2 linked regions of the Bombyx mori genome follow. The protein of the gene in region 1 purifies or fractionates together with the protein of each later gene. This does not show direct contact. Links are inferred from orthologs where the notes say so. Each region holds a gene or a part of one and is shown on either strand. Other genes may lie near its edges.

Region 1 (8,401 bases):
GTGCTCGTGCAGCAGCGGTGGAGGAGCCGATCAGCTGTCTCGCTTCCGCAGACCGTTGCCGCCGGAGCGCCTCGCTCGCACTCACCCCGGTAGGACTCACAGTTTCCACTGGACTTCTGCTTAACAACAAGCCAGAACGCGCATGAGTGACTAGGCCACTACCAGAGACTGCGTGATGTCTGTTTTCTCAGCTACCACTATTAACTTTTTTTAAGGGATTTTATGACCTGGTAACTAAGACCTTTAAGTTATGTCTTATTTTAATTTATATTCTTATTTTTATGAAAAATGATAATGTGGAGCGAAATGAAATAAGATGATATGGGATGAAATATAATATAATCTCAGTAAAATGGTGGTCATTTACTGAGATTTTTTCAGTGGATTTTTGGAGGATCCCGAGAAGTTACGTCCAGCGGCTTTGTTTCATTTTCCCACACTTGTGCACTTTCACAGATATTAAACAGTTAATAAGCCACCGTTATTACACATTTAAACTAAAAGAAACGTTATAGACAAAATAAAACAAATTACACAACTTCACTCCTCGCATTCCCGCCAAAAGGTCTCACTATTTACTATGCAGGTTCAACCATACGTAATATGAAGTCTGTTCACAAATGTTTCTTAGAACTAGTTAGTGACCGATAAACTCAGTTAAATAAGGCGGGTAAGAATTGCATTTATAATCTCTCGCTCTTCAGCAAGCCTAATAAAAAAAAAACTACGATTTAAATACCTTTCAAAAATAACCAATGGCCTCTTAATTTTTCAGCCCCTCACTTATAGTAGCAGTACGCTATCGTATTTAACTATCAAAGTTAATGACGTCGAACTGTCTGTGGTAATCTCTACAGTACTCGCCGATAAGCTTTACTATCTTTGAAAAAAGACAATCGGTTAATTTCGGTTTTGTAGAGCGTTATCTCTGTCGCACCAATCACTACTATCCGGTTTCTATTAGCACCGTAAACTAACGCTCTTGAACAACGACTGACAGACGTCATATAGGTAGTGTGCGACAGAGATGACGATCTATGAATACGAAGTCGAAGTGCAATATTTATCGACGGGTACTGTACATCAGATGTACAGAAACGTTTGTCCATTGACATTGATAAACAAAAAATACATTAAGGTCATATCATTCTTCTGCCCTTCTCCAGTCACCTGTCGTCGGCGCAACATGTTTTCTCCTTCCATAATCATCTATCATATACCATTTCTTCACTCACTCCCCACTTACACATATCGTCTTCCACGCAATCCATCAATTTCTTCTTAGGTCTACCTCTTCCTCTATATCCTTCCACATTCATAGTTAACACGCTCTTACCAACCTCATTTTCATTTCATCTCATCACATGTCCATACCATCCCAAACGCGCACTTCTCAGCTTATCTGTCACAGGTGCCACTTTCAGACTTCCTCTAACATATTCATTCCGTGTTCTATCCATTCTCGTTACTCCACACATCCATCGCAACATTCGCATCTGCTGAATGCAATCGCCTTTCATCCGCCATTTTAGTGGTCCAACAAGCTGATCCATACTTTAAGGTCTGCGTGCAATTTTTCGAAACTTACTTGTCGTGTTCGGCTTTCGCTCTTTTCTGTGCTTCTAACTCGTCTCTTCTTCTGACCATTTCCTCGGCTTTTCTTTTATCCTGTTAAATTAATAAATATAATATTCAAGGCCAAAATCATGTGATAATTGAAGGTAAGGAACCGCTTTCGAAAACAAAAAAAGGTATTCGTTCTAGTTTCCAGGTGAGCCCTTAAATACAACTGAGAGTACGAACCCAACGTGGGTGGCGAAATTCGCATTGTGTTGTCAATGAGCTCCAATAACCTCTAACACTAAGTGGGCCCTGAGCTCCTCCGCGAAATAAATAATTCTCTCTCTCTCTCTCTCTCTCTCCCACTCGATCAGCCTACTGACGTCCAAGGGAAGTCTTCCATCCAAAGAAATAATAAAAATGGAAAAGATAAAGCCATGTCTCGGATACATTATTTGATCTCCCTCACACCCCATTGTACAAACTGAATCTTTAAAAAGGTATTTTTTGGAACGCGTCGTAGTTCACTTGGACATTCAGCAAGGGTTCAATTCAGTATATTGTTACACATATCAATTAAGACTTTTCTTTTTTTATAAAATGACAAGAAAGTACTTAAATAGTGAACAAACCTCCTCTTTCCTTTTCTTTTCTGCTTCTATTCTTTTCTTCTCTTCAATTTCTTCTTTCTGCCAAAACTGGTCTCTCTCTTTTGAATTGATTTCTTTTACTAGAAAAAACAAAATTTGATTAAAATAAATGTAGTTTACCATATTTTTTTAAATCAATTGTAATCCAGTATCAGTACGAGCTGTAAACAATATAACCAACTTTGGTCAAGATTTTTGATTAAATCCTGTCTTATCACTAAACAGTAATTTATTACAGCATCAAGAAATCTTATGAAAGCTAAACAAAGCCATTGCCATAAACAGGTGGTATAAATTACTGTTGATAAACTTTATACGTGAAAATATGGAATTATCTTATTGATATTTCTGGTCTTTTATACCCTTACCCGGATTAACTTTCTGATATGCAGTCCCAACTGGTCCACTTGGCGGTAATTCCTCGGGTCTACTCGACTTGAAATTAAATGCTGAACCAGCTTTGGCCAGTTTGTCTAGGATTATCTTTTCGTCTAAGTCATCTTCGGTTCTTGCGTGCATGGTCAAGTGGAAACCGGTGAAGAAATTAGCCACATGTTTAATGTGGTTTGCACAGGTTCCTTTCCTAACAGTTGGTGCACCTTCACCCTTGAACATGAACATGCAAAACTATTAGATAACTAACAAGATTTACACAATTAAATGATTTTCATAGAGTTTTTGAAGTTGTCGTGGCCTAAAGTATAAGTCTTCCGGTGCATTCGTGTTAAGCGATGCACCGGTGTTCGAATCCCAGGCGGGTACCAATTTTTTTAATGAAACACATACTTAACAAATGTTCAAAATTGACTTCCACAGTGAAGGAATAACATCGTGTAATAGAAATAAAACCTGCAAAATTATAATTTGCTTAATTACTGGTGGTAGGCAGCCATTTTAACTATACTGAGACCTTAAAACTCATATCTCAAGGTGGGTGGCCGCATGTACGTTGTAGATGTCTACGAGATTCAGTAACCACTTAACACCAGATGGGCTGTGAGCTTGATCACCAATCTATGCAATAAAAATAAAATAAAAACAATTTATCAAGATCGACCATTCACCTTTTTAGGTATAAGGTAGGTTGGTATAAGATTAGGTAGATAAAAAAGGAAAAAATATGTTAATATAAAGTTATATTAACATGTTTTTTCCCTGTATATCACACTATTACATTATATTTACGTAATATATACATTTAATTTTATTTTTCAAATATCCTGCAGTTTGAATGCAAGCAACAACCCCACTCTTACTGAATTTATAAAAAAGAGGATTCTAGCAATTGTTTTAATTGTATCTCTTTGCTGGAAAATATTAAATTCCAGTATCCTTATTTTCATGCCTTTTTCCCAATTTTGGCCATTTTTAAAGCCTACTTTTCCTAAGTTTTCCTTCTGACTATCTCTAAATGTATTTTGTAAATAATTGAGGCCTTCCAAATTCAATGCATAACCTTAAAATATATTTTGGTGAAAGCTCAAATATCATTGAAGTCATAATAAAATTCTAGAACTATCTTTCTTCTAACTTCTAGGAATTCTATAACAGATTTTGAAACTGAACCTCGTTTATTCTAAATAATATTTAAGATAATATATATGTATACAGAATATTTTAAATAATATGAGAATAAACATATTGACAAAGTACTTTATCTAATGTCTTATCTATGGGAAAGTTATACCTGCCAGTTGATAAGCACATATTTAGATATGCTTCCATTTGGTACATCCACTTTTAAGAATGCATATTGTATTTTCCCACTATTCAAGTCATCAATCAACTCAGTCAAGCCTCCATCTCCTTTGCTGACGAACTTGAGATCATTTGTGAGCCCTTCATAACCATACAAGGCCCTGGAATTAAATATAAAAATGAGGTTTCTTATGTTAAAGTTTTGATTCTTGAAACCTCCATATACAATACAAAAAACCTAAACTATACAAGTTTATTAGACTGCAAATGATTATTTTAAAATAATTTACTCCAGTGACTAGTAGTACAGTTAGTTACACAGTCAGAAGACAATCTACACTGTGAGTTCATAAATGGTCATGGTAATTAATGTTCGAAATTCGCTCCTTAAATCGTATGAGCGTATGTTTTAACTTCCTCACCAATTAGGACGAGACCACATTCATTTTATGTACACTTACCAGTTCGTTTCGGTTTTTTCGTCTAATACATCTCTCCACGCACTGATTAAAGCTTCTTTATGTTTATCTAGGTTTATAGCCATTTTACATTATTTCCAAAAGCATCGAAATATATTTTACTTCAAAAATGCCTATTTCAACAATTATAAATTCCGTGCCTTTCGTATCTGGCCTGACTCACAAAACTGCTGAAATGTCATTGACATTTAAATTTTGACATAATTTGACAATACACTGACATTATTTTTATTGACCAGACGATTGACACTAAGGAATTGGTGGGTCAGCAGTTTAAAAAAAACACCGAACTAAATTAACTTGAATTGTAGACCTTCGACTAAATGCTATGTGTATGTGTAGATAGAATAAAGAGACGAGATAAGAGTTAGCGACCTATCTAATGTTAAGTGATTACTGAAATCCATAGACAACGTAACTGTCGCTTGAGGCGTACAGTCGATATTGATCAATATTGATATTCTACCCTTCAAACCTAAATGATGAGTGGGTACCATTTGCCATTTTACCATGCAGAGAGTAAATTACAGTGTCACAATACCTAAAAAGAAATCAGACTAATCTTATTGATGTATCCAACGGTATTCACGTTGTAGTGTCTATGAGCTCCAATATCTGTATAGCATCAGGTGGAATGTGAAGTCATTTTCCCACCATAACAATTAAAATTTATGGTGAATGAATATTGAAGTCAGAACTGTGGGTCTCATTAAGTGAAACTCCGGATCGATGTGCGTGAGCGAAATAATATAATATTACACGCCCATCGTCATTTTACGGGTGTAAGCTTTAAATTAATAACAATAAGGATTATCTGTACATTAGCAACACATCAAATAACCAAATAAAAAAAATTACCACTATTTTAATAGAAACGATGTTCTGTTATCTTATCAAATATCCAAAAATATAATTTTAGATTATGAAGATGATAAATATTCAAGCAAAAATATTTAAATACCATTTTTGGTTATATTTGTCAACCAATTTTCTTTGTTTATGTTTATTGAATATTGCCGATTTTAGTGATATTAATTAAAACAAATTTCATGCAAGTAATTAGGTTTTACTTCAAAATTTGAAGAATAAAACTAAATATTAAACCTTGATGCTCAGGGATATGTAAAGATCTTAAAATCGATCATCGAGCACACAGTATTAATTTGATATGGCTTAAGCGTGAAAAAAAAAAGTAAACTTTTTTAGTATAGCTTAGAGAATATAAATATTTCGCGTGATACTAAAATAAAAAAAATATATATTAATTATCTACATAATTATTTTGGTGTTCCTTAACCAATTTAAAATTTTACATACTATGTACAATCTGAAATTACCTACTGCTATATTTCATACATAATTTATTTCCAGTAAGCTTTTAAAATTGACCACAGATTAATAGGGTAGGTGTTCATAAAAGATTCCAATTAGAATGATTTATTTTTCCTACTGTTTTCATTAAAATGTTGCGCGCGCAATCTATCGTTCTAATTTTCTCTCATGTACAATAGTAAAAGAACTTTCATTCATAGCACTCAGTCAGTCTCGTAGTGAACCGACTGGCGCGACGCAGTGAAAAATGAGCCTCTACCATTAATGTTTCAAAACAAGTTTATACTAACATGTGGGTAGATGTGAGTGGGCGCGAAAAGCACAACTACATGACGCAGACAAATGGATGTTTTATACCGGGGTGAGTGGAAAAAAAACTTCATTAGAAAGTTATATATACTTTTGTTTGGAAAAGATTAATACGACACAAAATAATTAAATAAACATTTAACATTAACAAATATTAAGAATTTTATTATTGTTCCTTTAGTGCATAGTGTGAACACTAAAAATAAATAAATAATACGGTACCTAAATAGTTAAAAATAAATCTCTATCTAGACACCAGTATTTTTAAAACTTTTCAACGTCTCACTTAACTTTCTATTTTACGCATTGTAAGAGTATTGTATCGGTTAATTCTCGAATTGTTGAAAGTTGTTTTGTGTTTGATTGCGGGCAAAGCTTTTTTTTAGATTTGGATTCATAGAGTTTTAAATTTGAGTTTACATTATAATTATTACATATATTATTACTAGCGTAGTTTCGTGAGTGTGAAAGGTTTTTGCAGAAGAAATTTAGTAAATGTGCTATGTAGGTCGTGTAAAATACTTCCTGAGGACAAATACTTTTTATTTGTATAGATGGGTGGGTAGACGCGTTTCCAGCGCACTTGATGTTGACTTGTTACCAGAGCTTATAGAGTATAGGTATTATATTATTTTACAATATATTATTATCTGTCCAAGCCCAACACACATACAAAAAAAACAATTCCTTTAGGATAGCGGCCACCTTATTGTTTTTATATTATTTGAAATAGCCATAATAAATATTTTTTTTATTTTGATAGATCAATACACGTCGATTAGTACAATAGTCAAGTGTCGATGAATATAACAACATCTTTTTCGTTTATTTCCACGAAATGTGTGAAGTATGTCAGAAATATTATAATGATAGTAAAATAAAATAAAATAAAAATGAAATGGGTAGTAAAAATTCGAAATCAAAACCGTAAAAGTTGTTGATATGTGTATACTAAAACAAGCAAGAGAACAATCAAATTATCATGTTTTCCTTTTATTATTCTTTGTGTTTTCCTTCAGCTATCGCTGTTTGCAAAGTACATTGGATATTTTCACAATATATCGACTACAAAAAAGTTTATGTTATATATAAAACAAAAACAACGAAAGTTTATAATTAACTTAAAACAGGGTATGTAGCAATTATGATTGAAACAATACAATTTCAAAGAAACACCGTTGAGGCTTCACAGAATTTTCAATGCCGAATTTGTTGTTTTGAGAAAATGTTTACCATTAAACTTTGTAGTAAAACACAGGCCGTGTTTCAATGTAAACATCCTTGGACTACCTATTGAAATTTTACAAAGCCTTAGGTAGTGATTAAGCGCCGCCCTTCGCTGTACGTTGCTATGGTTACGTAAATGGATGCTAAATTAATATAAAATGTATTAAGTCGTGTAAACTTATGTTATTATTTTGATTAAATATTCTACATAGTATTACAATAAAATTAAAAATATATTCCAAAAAGCTTTTGTAACGTTTAACGACTTATTTGGTACCTAAGCAGTTTTTCAATCGCTAAGAACCGACAAAAACTCAGAGATTATTCTTTTGCGAATATTATATTATGTCCATCACACTGGTTTCAACACGGATGCCAAAAAATCATGGTCACGAATAAGAAAGTATTACGACGTTTAATATATGAATTACTCTGCATAAGCGTCGAAAATTGTAGTAATTAGGGCACAATGAAAAATCCTAAATAAAAGCTGATATAGTTGGTAATCCAAGACCTTGCTATAAAAATTTGGACCATAGGGAGAAGGAGAATATTGTGGCCGACAAACCTGCATCAATATTTTGGAAAAATATGTTTAAAGCATTTATTATCCAAATAGCATCAATGTCCGCCGACCTTCATTATCAGATGGCACTTGAAGAAGATCATGATAACATCATAAAATTGTACAATAATAGTAAGTAATTTACTATAAAATAACGAAAGGAGTATTGTTATATAAAGTATTTATAAAAAGAAGTCACCTGAAATTAATTTAACTTCGATAATTTTTAAGGAAATTAATCCTTGAATGGTCATCTACTCTAATCGTCTTAATTTTTGGGAATTATTGGGGTAAAACCTCTCTGTCTACGTGTTCAAATCCCGTGATTGTCAAATTATAGTTACTTTTACGTATTGTTGCATAAGGTAATCAAGTAGGTAGGTTATGACATGACCTACTATTGGTCTACTAGGCTTAACTATGTCATTCCCGAAGTTGAAACGGGAATAAACTACAAGCCTAAAGTACACAGTATTCCGTTACTAAGCTAAGTGTTGATATTAAATAACACTATCTGTATAAAGATCCGTTAGTTTACCCATACTAATTTTATAGATACCAAACTAACTTTGTTACGTTTT
Region 2 (8,086 bases), on another chromosome or scaffold:
TTCATTTTTTATTATTCATAAACTGTAAATAATTAAAACGGCGAATTATAAAAATCTTATTACTTGACATTGGCTAATGCCAAACCGTGCCGGAGTCAAAAAATAAAAAAGAAGAATGAAGACAAACCCTCAATTCATCCAGATTAAAATTCCCGTATTCCATGCAAGTGCCGTGTCCGTTCAAAAGCACTTTGCATCCAGACATCATTATCGTACCAGAGTCCATGTTAGTCATAGTGGATGGAAAACGAATTGTTGCAGGGTTATGCGTGGTAACGCCCACCTGCGAACAATTACAATTTTAAAAGCTCACTTGTACTATCATCATCGTCTTAGGCCTTACAGCCCAGGGTAGGCCTTAGCCTGGTACAGTATGTCTCTCCAGACTCAAGGCTTTCTCCTTCCAGTTCTTGACACCGATAGTAGTAGGCAGCGGCTTGGCTCTGCTCCCGGCATTGCTGAAGTCCATGGGCGACGGTAACCACTTACCATCAGGTGGGCCGTACGCTCGTCTGCCTACAAAGGCAATAAAAAAAAAACTTTGAGGTCGTGCTCTAGGCCAGACAACCATCGGAGTTTGGGCCTGGCCTTCTGCGGCCCTCTGGTTTGCCTATATTATATTATATTATAGTTATAGACTATATTATAGTAGTTGTCTTGGCATTCTGGTCTCCTTCATTTGAACTACATGTCCTTCACTTGTACTATCGCTAAATTAAAATAGCCATCTGTTTATTTTAAAAGAATAATGCTAATTTAATGTACGGTGAACTGCAGAATTAGATTAATCTTTTGAGTTCTTATATGTAATACTGTGAACACCGAGTTAATAAAAATAAACTACATATAAATAAGGCATCAGTAGTTTTATGGTGTCAATTATATATACTATTGTGATGATAGAGCAGTTATAAATATTAATACTTAAACTAAATAATACTAAATGATGGTTAAATGTCGTCTTGTGTGAGAGATTTGTTGTAAAGTATTGAGTTTAGTGTTTTTGTAATTAATTCTAATATTTATCAAAATTTACGTTTTAAATATTAATTTATGAATTCAGTAAATTTAATTTCAATACCGTTTTGAGTAAAATTTTAAGGAGGCTAAACGCCGCCTATGTTTCTCCTAATGTAAGTACTGTGAAATTAAATTTGTCTATTGTACATCACAACGAGTCTACTTCATATAGATTACTTCATTACAAAATACTGGTCAGACGACACTGAATTTGGTCAACTGCATCAACGACATTGTATTTCATTACCTCAACACTGCCACTCCATTTATCAACTAATCTATCTATACGTATTTCGAAAAGCTCGTTGTCATAAAGAGGTCGATGTGTCATCACAACTCCGTTATTATAATCATCCAATGGCCGGGCTCTCTCAGCTGTCCTGAAATATAATAGAATCTCCATGAAAATTTTTATTTTAAAATTCGCTTATATGTTTAGTATGTACAATGTGCAAGTGCTCTGTGGTGATTGTATAATGATCCTGTAATATATATTTTTTACCATCATAAAGCATGCAGAGTAATTCCTGTGTATCTTGAGCGCTATGGACATATCCTTCTTCAAACGAGATTTAAGGAGGGTCCTCCATATTAGTCAGCTTGGCTACTGATGCCGTCTTATGTACATGAGCAATGGTGATCACTAAGAACCACATGGGTGGTACGCTGCTCTGTCTTCAATGTTAATTAAAAATTAAATAAATATATACTCCAGTCATTATCACAATAGATATTACTCACTTATTATTCCCAGAGAGTTTCACTAAAATTCCACATCTTGGATGAAATCTCAAATGATCTTGAGCTGTAAATTTAATCAATATGTTTAGACTATATTGTATCCATTTTATTTACAATGTAAATATTTACAAACAAAAACAAACCAGAACTACAAGCTCCTTCAGAAGACATGGGCACATAAATATTTTGAGTTTCTTTTGGGAAGGGAGCAGATGGAAGACCAGCTACATCTATTTCGCTAGATGTTAATGTATCATCATTGTTGGGATCGTCTTCAGCCTGTATATGTATGGCAAAACATTAACAAATTTAATAAATAAATGTATAAATATTAAATTAAAGAATAAATAAAGTTTTTGACCTCCAATTATCAACCTTATTTTCAAATACAATATAATTTTATGTTTAATTAACAGATTAAAAAGTTATCCACATTTAATTACAATCAAAGTGGCTTCACATAAAATTTTCTTTCCAAGTATATTTTTATTGAAGCAATCTTAGCTGTTAATTTATACCTGAACCAAACAAAGTTCCATTGCTGTCCTTAGTCCATTCACTTGTGATATAGAAACTTGCACACACTGACCATAAAGATCAATTACTGCAAACAACCTAGGTGGCAAATCTTTGGCAGCAACTCCAAGGCATCGTCCATTGATATAAAATGTTAATTCCGCCTAAAACATAAATTCACATTATAAACTTTTTCTCGTATAAATAGAAAGCTATATTACTCAAATTACATTTGGATACTTTTAGACTGGTTTAGTATGTCGAAATATTTTTCTTTTAAAAGTAAGTAATTAATACCTTGCTTGTTCTCATAACACCTAAACAATCACCCTCTCGAAGAGTGTCAAGCTCGGGCCCATAAGAATTTACAAGAGTTACACCATCCTTCACAATAGAGCTGCCTGACATTATCTGTTAAAAATATACGATGGACATTTAACCTTTTTATTTTTATAGTTTAACTTATATAACTTTTAATTATGTTTATAGTTTAACCTATTTGATTTTAATAGATGTTAACTTGACTAGGGAAATGGTCTAGTCTGAAAAAAGACATGAAAATTATGAAATTTATTAAGTTTAACTACTAGTAATTAGTAATTTAAATATTATTTGTTGTGTTAGTAATTAGTACCAAATTATTAATTTTTCTATATTACCCATGCTGTGTTGCGAAGTTTAGTAGCAGTGGCAGGAAGCTCCATAAACTCTGGATCCAAAGTAGTGACTCCTATTTCTAAGCTGCCATTCCAAACGTTCACCTATGACAATGTTCAATTTAGATAATCAAGATACATATAGGTAATTTAATATTTGTAGGTAATTAATTAAAAATAGCTCAATTCAAGATTTTTTTTAATGATGGAAGAATAACTGGTGCCCCAAAGGTATTTCCAGCTTTACCCTGACTGGATAGCACGCACGAGCTTTACTAGGCTAAGTAACAGCTGACAAAACCCCTCCGAAAGAGACCTGACTGTTCAAGGGCTCAACAATTGTAACAAGTCCGATACTTTTTTGCAAACATGAGCAATATACTTTTGTACTTAACTGTCTTTATTTTAACTAATATGATATTTTATTGTTAAATAAAATGTTAATTTACATAATACACACTGATGGACCAATGTATGCATAGTCTATATTCTTAAATTCTCCAAAATGCATTTTTATTAGCTTGTTTTTATTTAACATCTATCCATTAACACACTCTCAAGAAGTTAGTTATGCTCTCAGTTGTCAGATAATTTGTTGCTAATAAATATTTAGTATAGTTGAATTTAAAATACTTCTTTGCTGTTAATATAGGGCATTATATTACAAATAGAAAGTATATGCAAAAAGTATTGATTGTGCTAAAGTACTTGGTCATTCAAGAGTGAATTTGCCGTGAGTGATTCCTAATTATTTGCCCACAAATAAAATATATTTGCCCGGTTCTCACAGCTTACCTTTCTATCGATGCAAACTTCAAACATAACATCATCAGAAATCGGTTCAGCACTTAATATTAAACCATGATTAAATTCTACAAAATTTCTTATAGCTGTTGAATTATCATTAAGCAGTGTAACTCTGTCGCCGCACCTTCTGTGGAACTTCATTTTTTCTATGGAATAAGAAAAGCACAGCTATGTAAAATTATTAATGACTTGCAGTAGGCAATGGCAGTGTTAAAATAAGTTCAATGCAATTATGTTTTCGTATTATTTAATTCAAAAATTTACCTACATCTAGCACCTTTTGTGATCGACATTATGAATTTATTTTTAAACACATTATAGGACTTTTTATATTGAAAACTGTTACGAACATACACATACTTTTGCGCGAATCAAGCATGCTTGTAATTAATGTATAAAGTAATTCATTATTTAAGTTTCCCCGCAAAAAAAATTAAATGGTTAAGTGCAAATCATATTTTCTTTAAAATTGGTCTTGTCAATAAATTTTAAATGTCTGCAGAATAGTGATTGCCTAGGCAATTGCCATTCCGAGTTACAAAATAGATCGATATCAAAATTAGCTCGAATTGCAATCATGAACTAAAAATGGGTTAAAGATTTTTCTCCAATTATGCTTATCGGAGAATTATACTATAGTAAACACTACTATAATATTTTTTCATATTGTTTACGAAGAAATCAAGTAAAGTTTCACCCTTTAATTCAAACCCTAAAATTGAAATTATTAATCCATTGAGTTTCTCGCCAGACTTTCTGGGCCGTGACTCGCGAATCCGATCCGGCGGTAAATTTAATGAAGCACTGTTCTTGCTAGGGGCTAGTATAAACAGACATTCAAGGTGAGCCCGTGAATTTCGGTACCAGTCCGAGCGTAGCTAGGATAGCCCCTTAGGCTACCAGAGATAAGCTAGGGGTAAAAAATGAAACTAGTAGTTTTATTTGTGATTATTTCTATTCAATTTGACGAATCCAATTCATTCGATTGCTGAAACATTTCGTAAGTTACATTACTATTTTAATATGGTATAGTCTGTGTAAGAGTCGATCAATATAGCGTTTTGTTTTTTCAAACAAAATACTCTACAAGCTTTGATAGGTGTAGGACAACATGAAAATTACAAACCATTTCAAAAATTGTAAACATAATTTTAGGCAATGTTAAATTAAATGTAACTACAAAGCAAACAAACTTGGATTATTGAGGTCGTAGATGTTATTAAAATTCATTGTTTTACAAATTCCTATATTTCAATTATACTACAATTTACAACTTTAGTAAAATCCCCTGAAAAATTTAATCTTTAATTAACATTCGTTTTATCTAGTAAAAACAAAAAGTAAAAATCTGACTGAATCTTTGTCACTAAAAATTAATTAAATGTGATGGTTACTTTTTTATTGACGGAATATATTGATATTGTCATCCCTACTCAATAATACACTATGTTTATTTAATATTTTAAACACCTTTGAAGAGAATAAAAAGTTTAGCATCGTATGTGTACCATTCTCGCTATAACAACAGCTACCATCATTTGGGCACGCTATAAGCAATACATACTTCTAATTGTTAGTTTTGGTATAGATTCCTGCTACTACCAACTACTTCTTACAAAACATAGTCTAGAAAAACTGTGCCCACAACTTAAGAATAGAGATCGACCAGTGACTGGTGCATATTGGCAACGGGAGGCATAAGTTATACAACGCTCAGTTTCTCAAGACTCTATACTTCAGGAACATGAAGATTCGAGATTCTTAAACGCCTTTCTTTTCGGGCAGGGGCCGAACCCTACCCCTGGTAGGACCTTTGGGAGTCCGCACGGGTAGGTACCACCACCCCGCCCATTTCCGCCGTGAAGCAGTAATGCGTTTCGGTTCGAAGGGTGGGGTTGCCATTGTAACTATACTGAAACCTTAGAACTTATATCTCGAGGTGGGTGGCGCATTTACGTTGTAGATGTCTATGGGCTCCAGTAACCACTTAACACCAGGTGGGCTGTAAGCTCGTCTATACATCAAAGCAATAAAAAAAAAAAGGTGTCCGCGCCTAGCGGCCACGCAAGTTATGTGGGACTTGACGGTCTGTAGGTGTTGGGAGCAGACCGCGGGCTCAAGAATATTTTCTAGGCCCTACCCACCAAACGACTCCCCTTACACTCTCTCATCTGACATCCGATCTCCGCTCAGGGTCAGAATCCAGACGGAATAGTTCGATCAACACTAGAAACAGACTCGCGGTGCTACCCCTACAACGCCCTACCGACGGGTCGTCGGAGCAACAGTCGACGACTCTACGTCAGCCATCAGTCAAGCCGCCGCAGGTAGTGCCTCTTTTGTACTAGAATTTCCCGCAGGACGCTATATACCGCCATCCGATTCCTGACTCAGTAGTATCACTATGATTTTAAAGTTTTATCAATTAAGAAATCGATTAGTTCCGATTTTATGACCGGTTATCACGATTTGAAACTTAATGAATATAGAATATTAAAAAATAATAATCTGCAGTTGATTTTAACAGTTCCCATCACAAAAATGTGGTACCTATTAAAAAAGAAAATTCAGACGGGCACGTCTTATATTTGAATTTGAAAAAAACTTACCTACTTGCTTACTATTTCGCTTCCGATGTGTAAAATGGAATGGTCTCCATGTTACCAGGAACCATTAGGTACCTACATGCCAAAAAAAGTGTCATTAACTCGACTGCTCATTTGCGAAAGATAATTTGTGAAGTAGGTACATATATTCTTTTTACAAATAAACAATTATTTGCGGTCGGTAAAGGCGTATTGATTTACAAATTTTCACTGTTGTCTATCTTCTATCAAACATTGTTCGTTTTATATTATCACGGACAAACTATAAAATAGACTCGACCTATTTTTTATTCCGACTCCCAACTTGCAAGGCCAGGTGATATGGACTTCCCACTGCCCGTATGCATTGTTTATACATTAAATTGGAAACTTTTATCTATTTATTAAAGTTATAATGAATACTGCTTCAATAGAGTTTGCTTTTTGTAAAGGGGACTATGCTTTAGATTTTTATTAATAAACGCAGCGCAATCATACCTACCTGACACCATTTTCGGTTCCTTTAACTCTTGCTTAAAGCTGGTCTTTAATGAAAGAACCCGTCGCTTGCGACGAAAGGCTCGACGAGTAAATTAACCCTCAGACACAGCCCACTGAGTTTCTCGCCGGATCTTCTCAGTGGGTCGCCTTTCCGATCCGATGGTAGATTCTGCGAAGCACGGCTCTTGCTAGGGTTCGTGTTAGCAGCTTCGTCAGGTTTGAGCTCCGTGAGCTTACCTACTAGTTAAGGTTCCGCTGATATAGCCTCTCAAGGCTATCAGCTTAGCTAGAAAAAAAAAAGTTGTCGATAGCTATGGGCTCCGACAACCGCTTAACTTATTCCGATACGTAAGTGTCATAAGGTAACGTATGAACGCTACTTCGACAAAGCGGCGCGACACGATAACACTCTTATCGTGACCGCCGCTAATTACTTAACCGACCCAGGCGACGGAGCAAATTTGCTGTCGTGCGAAACATGTCTTGGTCGGGCCAATAAAAATTAAAAATTCAATTATGAATTTAATAGTACGCACATATTGGGCAATAATGAAAATCACAAATCGCTGCTTAAAATACGTAAAAAATACGTAAGCCAAGTTAAACAGCTTCGCCATCAAAAGTATCGAACTATCTAAAATTATAAATTGCTGGCAAAAACGCTCTATAGATTTAAGCCGCAAAGCATCCGTTCGTTCCAGTACCTAATATCATGATTTTACGATATTCAAAAGTTATTTTCATTTCATTTCAAAAGAATTTATTGTATATGAGCATTCTATTCAAAGAAACATATTCTATCAGTGACCATAAAGGATTTTATACTTAATCCCTCTAGATTAATCTCCTGTGAGCTGCAAAGATGGTTGATACTATTGTAGCTAGTGATTTCATATCAAAGATATCAAAGATTTGAAAGCACAGAGTACAATAGTATCGGTAGGATTCTACCGCTTTTTCAGCTACAAAAACTGCATGCTGTTCTCGAGTAGTTTTAGGGTTGGTAAAGAACAATTTTATATTACACTTAGTTCGTTTAGCTAAAACTAGACGATGACCGAGCTTTGCTCCGTATTTTTTTTTATATTTTATATGAAAAAGACACAAATAATATAAATAAACAATTCATTTTCTTGGTCTAACCTTAAACCAAAGTTAACCAAACACTCATTGGCTTCGGGTGGCTTAACAACGCCATCTGCTGAAATAGCTTAATAGTATTATTATTCACCAATAGATGTCGGGAAGAGTCAATCAATA

What was found. The genes of interacting proteins can lie anywhere in the genome.
Region 2: the proteins of drebrin-like protein B (region 1) and neuralized-like protein 4 purify together in Homo sapiens (co-immunoprecipitation; 4 studies listed by BioGRID and IntAct, counting the BioPlex papers as one, with this or other methods). This does not show direct contact. The link is inferred for Bombyx mori from reciprocal best matches to the Homo sapiens genes DBNL and NEURL4.

Annotation. Positions count from the first base shown.
Region 1 is NC_085117.1:15,761,983-15,770,383, forward strand, and holds the start of drebrin-like protein B, read right to left. Parts: upstream 4,590-8,401; 5' UTR 4,453-4,589; coding exon 4,370-4,452; intron 4,070-4,369; coding exon 3,898-4,069; intron 2,817-3,897; coding exon 2,579-2,816; intron 2,291-2,578; coding exon 2,193-2,290; intron 1,669-2,192; coding exon 1,589-1,668; intron 117-1,588; coding exon 1-116. Other genes in the region: ciliary microtubule inner protein 2B, read left to right, coding at 6,010-6,080; uncharacterized protein LOC110386383, read left to right, coding at 7,847-7,952. UniProt on the Homo sapiens protein: Adapter protein that binds F-actin and DNM1, and thereby plays a role in receptor-mediated endocytosis.
Region 2 is NC_085107.1:10,078,993-10,087,078, reverse strand, and holds the start of neuralized-like protein 4, read right to left. Parts: upstream 4,233-8,086; 5' UTR 4,005-4,232; intron 3,887-4,004; 5' UTR 3,882-3,886; coding exon 3,729-3,881; intron 3,039-3,728; coding exon 2,937-3,038; intron 2,689-2,936; coding exon 2,575-2,688; intron 2,442-2,574; coding exon 2,280-2,441; intron 2,041-2,279; coding exon 1,905-2,040; intron 1,826-1,904; coding exon 1,762-1,825; intron 1,401-1,761; coding exon 1,268-1,400; intron 284-1,267; coding exon 128-283; intron 1-127. UniProt on the Homo sapiens protein: Promotes CCP110 ubiquitination and proteasome-dependent degradation. By counteracting accumulation of CP110, maintains normal centriolar homeostasis and preventing formation of ectopic microtubular organizing centers.